2 linked regions of the Arabidopsis thaliana genome follow. The protein of the gene in region 1 purifies or fractionates together with the protein of each later gene. This does not show direct contact. Each region holds a gene or a part of one and is shown in the gene's direction. Other genes may lie near its edges.

The links.
Region 2: the proteins of UVI4 (region 1) and EMB2771 purify together in Arabidopsis thaliana (affinity purification with mass spectrometry, with the first as the bait; one large-scale study listed by BioGRID). This does not show direct contact.

Annotation. Positions count from the first base shown.
Region 1 is NC_003071.7:17,601,372-17,605,520, reverse strand, and holds UVI4 (uv-b-insensitive 4), read left to right. Parts: upstream 1-1,815; 5' UTR 1,816-2,013; intron 2,014-2,063; exon of another isoform or gene 2,064-2,224; 5' UTR 2,225-2,237; coding exon 2,238-2,627; intron 2,628-2,891; coding exon 2,892-3,281; 3' UTR 3,282-3,649; downstream 3,650-4,149. Other genes in the region: AT2G42270 (U5 small nuclear ribonucleoprotein helicase), read right to left, coding at 1-1,191; CYP712A1 (cytochrome P450, family 712, subfamily A, polypeptide 1), read left to right, coding at 3,812-4,149. UniProt on the Arabidopsis thaliana protein: Negative regulator of the anaphase-promoting complex/cyclosome (APC/C) ubiquitin ligase required for proper mitotic progression and cell fate determination; inhibits premature cell differentiation.
Region 2 is NC_003076.8:1,637,852-1,643,154, forward strand, and holds the start of EMB2771 (E3 ubiquitin ligase), read left to right. Parts: upstream 1-2,699; 5' UTR 2,700-3,350; intron 3,351-3,459; 5' UTR 3,460-3,600; coding exon 3,601-3,809; intron 3,810-4,045; coding exon 4,046-4,109; intron 4,110-4,352; coding exon 4,353-4,437; intron 4,438-4,867; coding exon 4,868-5,154; intron 5,155-5,303. Other genes in the region: SDN2 (small RNA degrading nuclease 2), read left to right, coding at 80-211, 292-399, 486-590, 666-908; AT5G05550 (sequence-specific DNA binding transcription factor), read right to left, coding at 1,678-1,700, 1,973-2,699.

The DNA of each region.
Region 1 (4,149 bases):
TTCTTTGATATCTTTCTCCCGTTTCTCCTCCCTTTCTTTGGCTGTTGCTCTTTTGGCATGCAACTCCTTAACAATTGCTGCCAACTCTGAACCTAACCCCAACATCTCCTCCTCAATTTGATTCCTCTCTTCCTGGTCTCTTCCCCTAGCCAAACGGGTGCACCACACAACTTTAAGACGGTTTTGCAACAGAAATTTAACAAGGCTGAACTTTTCAAACTGAAGGTGCTCAAGCAGCTTGATCTCAACATCCCTATCATTACCCTCAGCAAGTATCTTAAGCAGCTCTTCTGCGAGTTCCTGGCACTCTTGTGCATCAATCTTCTGCTCATATTCTTGAGATATCTTTCTCTGAAGCCAATAAGCATCAATATCCAGAACATTAAGACTCGTATCCTCCTTTGCCTGTCTTGCATCCTCGCCGTTTATTGCCACACCCACCTGGACAACTCCAGTTTTGTTAAGCTCAACAACATCTTCATCCTCCTCATCTTTTTCATCCTGGACCATATCAAGATCACTCTCATCATCATCCTCTTCACATTCAAGGGCAACACCAATATCATAATCAAGTCCTCCATCCTCACTAGCTTTACCACTTAAAGAATCACCACCCTCTTCATAGTCTGTAATCAGTTTTCCAATCGAAACAAACTGACTGAAAACCTGATCAGTAATAACGTTTAGTAGTTTCTCAATCTCTACCTTCTTTTCATGGTTTTTGACGGATTCATTCTTAAGAACTGCCAAAATCTCATCAGCCGCACCGCAAACAATGTCCAAAGGCTGCCCACCCAATTGCTGCTGGATAAGACCAAGCATAATCTCAAAAGCAACCCTTGTTTCCTTAGTCTTCGGCTGATAAACACCATCCTCCGTATCATTAAGTACACTCACCTCCCTAAGACGAACTCTTTTGCTCTCACGAGCAGACACCAAATCATCACAACGTTCCTTCTTCTTCTTAGATTTATTAAGCCGCTCATCTAACTCATGAGGCCTTCCCCTAACGACACGATCTCCAAAGGATTTCGGATCAATCCTACCCCTGAGACTCTCCGGTTCACCAGAAGATTCATGCGTATCACGACGACGCTCATCACTGTTAAGAACAAGACTGGAATTGACTTTGTACCCATACTGCTTCAACCTGGCTTGCTCCTCCGCACCACCACCACCCAAATTCGTCATCACCAAATCGGAAAAACAAACCCCAAATTCCAAGAATTAAATCAATGAAACAAAACAAAATTCGGAACGAAAAACTCTTCTATTACCTCTCTCCCGTTCTCCGTAATCGTCGTCTTAAGAATTTGATCGAGTCGATGAGTTTTTTTTTTTTTTCGTTCAACAGTCTTATATATACACCCTAAACAAGTCTTAAACCGACAATACATTGTCGGCCACAAATTCCAAACCCACGAAGGCCTGTCCGGAAGCCGACTAAAATTATGGAATTGTCCGGTTCAATCCGTTTTAACTATAATTAGAAGAAAACATTAATTAGAGTTGGTTCTTGATGAGTGTTTTCGTATAATCAGAGCAAGTTATCGTATCATTAGACCGTACCAACTAGCCAATCCGGTTTTCTGGTATTAGTAAAAAGCAGCGGTTGGATCCTATGACAATTAACGGTGAGGATTCGATCTTGAAAGCAATGCGTACGTAAATAGAATTGGGCCACAAGCCCAGTTTTATTCAGAAGGGCAAAATTGAAATCTGACAAAGAATTTGACGAATTGTGACAATGTGCGCTTTGAAAAAAAACGAAATTTATCCCGCGTGAGATGAAAAATTCAAAATATTTCACACAGGTGAAACCACTTTGACACGTGCGAGCTCGAAATTTTTCATTTTCAATTACAAAACCCGCCTAGAAAATGGTCTAAATTTTGTTTGCCAGATCGTCTCTCTCTCAAAAGCTTTTCTCTCTTTTTCTCCTTTGTCCCCTCCACTTTACCGTTCACGAAGCCATTCCGAGCTATCACGAAGGAATCTATTGAAGATTCATAGGTAAATCCATGGTTTGATTTGTTCAAGTAGGTTCTTTGTGATGTGACGGAGATTTGTTGCGAAAACGAAGAGTTGATCTCTTTTTCTTGTTGTTTATGAGGTTTCGAGAAAATCTGATTAACAATGGAGAACAAGACTGAGTTCTTGGGTTTTAATGTTGCGATTTCGATTTTGGGTGTGTTCTAATGGCATAGTTGTTTGATTTCTTCAGCGCTCAATCACAAATGCCAGAAGCACGAGATCGAATAGAGAGGCAAGTTGATTACCCAGCCGCATTTCTCAATAGACGCTCGCATGGTATTTTACTTGACGAACCAGCAACACAGCACAATTTGTTTGGGTCTCCGGTTCAGAGAGTGCCATCGGAAGCTACAGGAGGACTTGGGTCAATTGGTCAAGGATCTATGACGGGAAGAGGTGGGCTTGTGAGGGGTAATTTCGGTATTCGGCGGACTGGTGGTGGTAGAAGAGGTCAAATTCAATTTAGATCGCCACAGGGACGAGAGAACATGAGCTTGGGTGTTACAAGGCGTGGAAGGGCTCGTGCTTCAAATTCTGTCTTACCTTCTTGGTATCCAAGAACGCCCCTCCGTGATATTTCTGCCGTTGTTAGGGTTAGTTCACTAAACCTAGTCTCATTTTGGATTTGTCTGCTTATTCTTAGATTTAACTGGAGTTTTTTTCATTGATATATAGCTAATTTGTGATCTGTTTATATCTGGTTTGTGATTTGCATATTGGTTCAGAATCTGCTGCTTATAAGCTAGATTAGTCTTCTGTAACAGGCTTGCTTAGCCTCTTTGTTAACTATATCATAAGTCATAACCTGTTACCAAAAGGCTTGCTTAGTCTGGCTATTTACAAACTCTTATATGCAGGCTATTGAGAGAAGGAGAGCTCGTATGGGAGAAGGTGTTGGCCGAGATATTGAGACCCCAACTCCACAACAACTTGGGGTTCTTGATTCTCTAGTACCGTTGTCAGGTGCTCATCTCGAGCACGACTATTCTATGGTTACTCCCGGTCCATCTATTGGATTCAAGCGTCCTTGGCCACCCTCAACTGCTAAAGTCCATCAGATTTTGCTCGACATCACAAGAGAAAACACAGGGGAAGAAGATGCCCTCACTCCAGAGAAGAAGCTCCTCAACTCTATTGATAAAGTGGAGAAGGTTGTGATGGAAGAGATTCAGAAAATGAAGAGCACTCCTAGTGCTAAAAGAGCAGAAAGGGAGAAAAGAGTTAGGACGCTAATGTCGATGCGATGATGATTCATCATCCTCTGGTGATTCACTAGAAAGAGGTAATCATCTCTGTGATGATATATAGTAGGGAGATTCTATCATTTTTCTAATGATAAAAAAGAAGAAGAAATTCATCTTCTGATGATATATCATATGGGAGATAACTGTTAGATAGTTCACGGGTTTATGTTGGATCCCTTTTACTTTTAGGCTTTTTGTATGATGAGGATGTCTTCTTGATTCAGGATATTGTAGTTAAACAGTTGTACAGAAGTTTGGTTTGTTGGTAGAAATTGCAGATGTTCTTGTATGTGTGTATCTGTAATTGTCACAATCTAGGAAGTGCCTTCGAATAATAAAAACTTCTAATCATTTTTTTTTTTTAATTCCCATCAAACAATTTTCATATATGTTACGTCACACATTTTATATTTGGTAAAAGGTCACATCTGTTGTTTTGTTTTCTTTACAATGAGCATCTAATAAACAAGATTCGTCTGTGTCTGGATATAAATACAAGCATACTTCAAAAATTGTATCAATACCTGCCTGCAATGGATTTAAAACTAAACACTAAACTAATTATTCTCATCACATCCTTAGCTTTTCCTTTCATGCTTTATGCTCTCTTCAAATGGTTCTTGAAAGAGCAAGGTTCATTGGCTGCTACGAAGCTGCCACAGAGCCCTCCAGCTTTACCATTCATTGGCCACCTTCATTTGATAGGCAAAGTATTGCCTGTCTCATTCCAAAGTTTAGCTCACAAGTATGGCCCACTCATGGAGATACGTCTCGGTGCTTCTAAGTGCGTTGTGGTCTCAAGCTCTTCGGTGGCGAGAGAGATTTTCAAGGAGCAAGAGCTTAATTTCTCCTCGAGACCTGAGTTTGGTTC
Region 2 (5,303 bases), on another chromosome or scaffold:
CAACCCTCTGCTCATGAGATATGGAATCTCGTATGTACATGACCGATGTATCACATTGTTTATTTGATTTGATTTCCAGTGTATATTGGGATATGAAGTGCAGAAAGAAGGTGTTCCACACAATTGTGTTCATGATGCAGAAGCTGCAATGAAACTTGTACTTGCTATACTAGATAATGGAGCAGAGACCTCCGTTCCACTATCTAAAGAGGTAAGTTGGATTGCACAAACTTCATTAGTTCAATCTAAACTTATAAAAGCATAACGTTTTGTCTGCATAATTCCATATAGATGTTGGAAGCTGAGAAGTCAAAGCTCTACCTTCATAGAATCCCTTGCAATGTTCCATATGAAGAGTTAAATGGAGTCGTTTCCAGGGATATCCCACATGAAGTTAAGGTATGAATCCACTCAACATATACATATTCTTATCCAAATTCTGTATTTTATGAGGCTCTCGTTGTTTCTTGATTTTCTTTTGGCAGCCGTCGAAAAAACAAGACCGTCACTACTATAGCGCGATTGTTGTTTTTAAAAGTCCAGAAGAAGCAAATCAAGCATTTGAAAACATTGCTGGAGACTTTGGAAAGGTAATTTAGCATCATATCTTTGGTTATTTCACAGATGGTGGTGATATAACAAGTTTCTATGTATTTCTCTTACAGGATTCGAGGGGGTTGTCACAAAAACAGATCTTTCTAGAGCCGAGTTCATCAGAACCTAGATTATATGTTCTCGTTCGTAAAATGGTCGAAGATGATTTGGTTGGGGAAGTCATAGCAGAGGAGAATAATGCGAGTTCTAAGAAACGGAAGAGAGAAAATCATTCTAAAGGGACCAGAGATAGACGCAGGTGTAAACCATTGTCCAGACGAAAACAGAGAAGCAATGTCAAACGAAGAAGATAATATCAAGGAAAATCAAGAACTCAAAGCAAAATGATAAGATGATAATTGGTCCGGATTCTTGAAAATTGCTTTCACTGTGACTCTAGTTTGTGTTTGGTCATCGTTGATGCCCTTAATGAACCTTGGATAGTATTTTGCCAATTTAAAGGTTAAAGAACTCAGAGACTATTGATTTAAGATACTCGGATGCAACTGCATACTTGTGGATGTATTATATATATCTTATGATAAGTGGTTATGATAAAAATTTAGACATGAAAAAGCCCAAGAAGAAGCATAAACATGTAACTGTTAAGCATCAGAAGCTGTAGTTTGGATACACAAGCCATCATTATACGTGGACACTAACACAAATGTAGATCATACTTGTCAGCTACTAAAGAGTTAAGGAAGATTTGCTCCAGTACACCAATGTACACTAACACGCTAGAAAGTAGAAGAAAACAAACAAAGACATCCTAAAGAGTTCTCTAACTTCCATCCTACAGATTAAAACAAGTAACAGGATCCTCCAATTTCAATGAGCTTCAGATTCAAGTAACTCCTCTTTGCTTCACCATGGTATTTCCTCCACCAATCTAATTCTACAATTGCTTACCTGTACAATAAAGGCAGATCAAACTTCAGTGAACTCATTACCATATGAAGAATGTTCGACTACTATGAACATTGATCTTTTTTCTCAATTTCAAACCTGGAAGTCTACTCCTCCTAATCCAGTTCAACATTCCACGAAGCTGGAGAAGCTAAAGAAGTAAGAGAATGCTATCTAGACTTTTCCTTGCCAGACCACTGGAAGCACAGAAGCTCAACTGAATTGTATATTGACAAAATTGGTATTCTTCAAAAGCAGAGAGGCACATGACTTTCACATATCAACAATAAGTCAATTACTAACCAGCCTCATCCATGCTTACAACAACTAACAGCATAGGTATAACATTGTTGTTGAAATCTAAGGTCCTTCCACGGATACATTATGCGGTTTAAAGAGAAAGAGTAACAACCATGTAAAGTCTAAGCCACCACTAGTAACTTGAAAACCTAATGTGAGTTCTTCTTACCTGAAGCACTTGCGCGTTTCCGGTGCTTTGATTTCTCAATCTCTAACTGCATCTCCATCAACATGTTCATTCGTTTTAACTCTACCTCCTTTGTCACTTCCATTCTCTGCTTCTCCAACTCAATCATCATCTGTTGCTTCTTCCCTTCAATTCTCTCGTAAACTTCTCCAAACTTGAGAATCGCCGTAGCTAGTTCCCTACACGTTGATCCTTCACTCAGATCTACCTCTTCCACACGAGGATGCTTCCTAGCAACGAATTCCCAATCACCAACCTCATCATCATCCTCATCATCATCTTCAAGAGAGCTTCCAGTAGAGTTCGATCCAGTTGGATTCAGATGATTCTTAAAAGGCGCTGATTTGACAACTCCGCCAGCCGATTTCTTCACAACGGGACCGATTAGAACATCGAGGCGGTTATAGAAACGCCAAGTCGACGGCGAGAGTTTAGCTTTCTCTGTTTTGTACTTCTTCTTCAAAGTATCGACCCGGTTCTTACACTGTAAGTCGGTCTTCTTACGGCTGTTATCACCGTGTCTAGAGTTAACGGCGTCGGCGACGTCTTTCCAGTCATTCTGCCGGAGATTTCCGTGGTTCAGCTTGACGTAACGATTGCCCCAGGCTTCTACCAGCGTCGCCGTCGCTTCCTCACTCCACCAGTCTTCTCTTCCCAACGGCGGTCGGTGGGACACACTTGATTTTGACTGCGGCGTCGTCGTCTCCATTCGTCGGGAGTAGTGTTGCTAATGTGCGCACCGGGAGGAGAGTGACGGCGTAGGATAAGATCGGAATAGAAACAAACAAAACATAAAAAGAAGTTTTTTTTTTTTGGTGGGAGGAAACCGGAATGGGAGAGAAGAGGATAAGTGTGGCCTGACATTGATGACCGGCGGTGACGTCACTGACCGTATTGGAGCGTTTTGGTCCCAACGGCGATTATCCGTTAAGACCGAACCAATCTCTTTGGTCTCGTTAGTACTTATGATTAAACTGTTAAAAAAAACCTCATAATTTTTCATTTATCCCAAAACAAACCTCAAACTAAAAAGATTACATAAATAAACCTCTAAAAGTGACAGATTGGGTCAATAGCAAATAGTTGGAAATATTTTAGTTTTATTTCATTTTAAGCCTTCAAGTTTTACTTCTTTCCAATGTTTAAATTTTGTCTTTCATAAGCTCAGACTTCGTCCCAGATTTCATTGCATCTAGCACAGAAAGTGTTTGATTAAATTCCTCTGAGAACATCTCTCTTTCACTAAGCGAAATCTTCCGACTTTCGATACTTTTTTGAACCTCACTTTCTTCATTCCGTTCAGTTTAGAGCCTCGACAATCATCGGAACTCGTTTGAAACCTCTCTATCCGGTTTCTAATGTAAGTGACAATTCTTCCTACTCACTTCTTCTTCTTCTTCTTCTTCTTCTTCTTCAATGTTATCTTCCTCTGTCTCGCTTACTTTTCATAAAACGATTTCGACCCGCAGGTTTAAAGAGAAATGAGAATCTCAAATAAAATTTTGAAAATAGAAAAGACTAGGGTTTAAGCGCTAAGACAACTTGGAAAGAGCGGGAGAGTGTAAATTAAACTTCACCAATCTCCATTGCCTGTTGGCTTCGGAGAAAAAATGCCTCCAGGGGTTCGCCAACTTACCGTCCTCGGAAAGTTTAAACCTTTCGGTCTAATCGCCGAAGCTACTGATGGTAAATCACCGGATGATTCCTATCAGTATTTCCTCTTCGATCCTGAGCTCACTGGCGAGCGAGATGATGCTGATGGCAATGATGCCAACTTCTCGCGGCAGAGAGAGCACGAGCTCTTCATCCGAGACAACTGGTAAGAAATGTATACAATTTGCTGATTACTCTATAACTCTGCACCACTTCATGAATTTGTTATCACTTCAATTTCGAATGTGTTTTCCTATTCTTCAAGTTTGCCTCTTTCTTCCAGTAATGTCCGTAAGGGTTATGCTTTAGTAGAAGCTAATTTCATTGGATATTGGTATAACGTATCTAGCTGAATTGCGGTTCGTTTCTGTACCTGACGATGAAATTTTGATTTGATGATAGCATAATCTGGACAAGCGGTTCGCGGGTCCTCAAGCGTTTTACCTTGTCTTCTGCCGTCATTAAGGTGATTTCCATTAGAATTTTGGCTCTTTGTCTCTCAAGTTTTCCCGTTTGAAAATCTATGGATTCTTATCTGTGACAATCCTTGATTAAACAAATCTAGCTATGTCTTAACAATGCTTTTCTGTTGTATTGGTGGATACGTTATCTGTTCCACATGAATTAACAAAAACATAGACAAAAATATTTTCCATCTATTTGATGCGTCAGAAAGACTGTTTTAACTCATAGCTTTTTTATGTCATAGGCATGCTGGAGCAACCTTGGTCGAGGGACAGAAGCTTTTCTTTGTGTATTACAAATTGCTTGCTTAACAATCTACAACACATCAGGTAATTGTGGCTAGATACCTCTGAACTATAATATTTCTGCACTATCCGACTTTTTCCATTATACCCTAATGGATTCTTATATGGTTTGCTTCTAACGAAAGGACAATCTCATACTGGTGCACATAGTTGGTCCCTTTCTTTATGATTCATTTGAAATTGTGTAATTACAAATGAAAATTTATGGAATCGGTTTATGAAGAATAGATTTCAGGTAGCTTTCTGTGCATTGATAGCTTTTTGAACGTTCAAGTTGATTGATTAACTTTTAGCCGTTCTATTTCTAGTTTCCTTTCATCTGCTCTTGGAAATATATTGCGTATTCCTTTTTACTTGTTGACTAGATCTGATTAATCAGTACTGTTTGTCTCTTTTCTGAGGTAACACTAGCTGAGGTAATTACTTTCTGATTTTTGGCAATTGTTGGCAACAGGCGAAGTTGTATCTGTTCCACTAATGCGTACTGTCAAATCAATATGGCCTCTACCATGTGGTCTACTTCTTGAGCAAGCTGGTGAAGTGAATCCACCCTCACATGTTCCATTTTCTCCTGTTAGCCCCATCCTTGGTTCTCGTGAGATGCTGCGCCAAAGAAAAGAAGTTGGGAATAGTTCACCACAAAACTTCCATTCCCCAGTCGCGCATGACCTTATTAGCAAAAGAGATATGCCATGCATGTCTTCCCATCTGATTCTAAGAGATCCACTAGAGGAACCTGGGGTAAATGAACTCATCATTTTGTAGATATTCCTTGTAACTTTATTTCTGCTTCAAGCCAGTCTTTCTTTATATCGGGACCTATATTATTTCTTTCTTGTTGTCTCAACAGCACATAAATGTTTTTTGATGATGCAATATTTGGTTATACT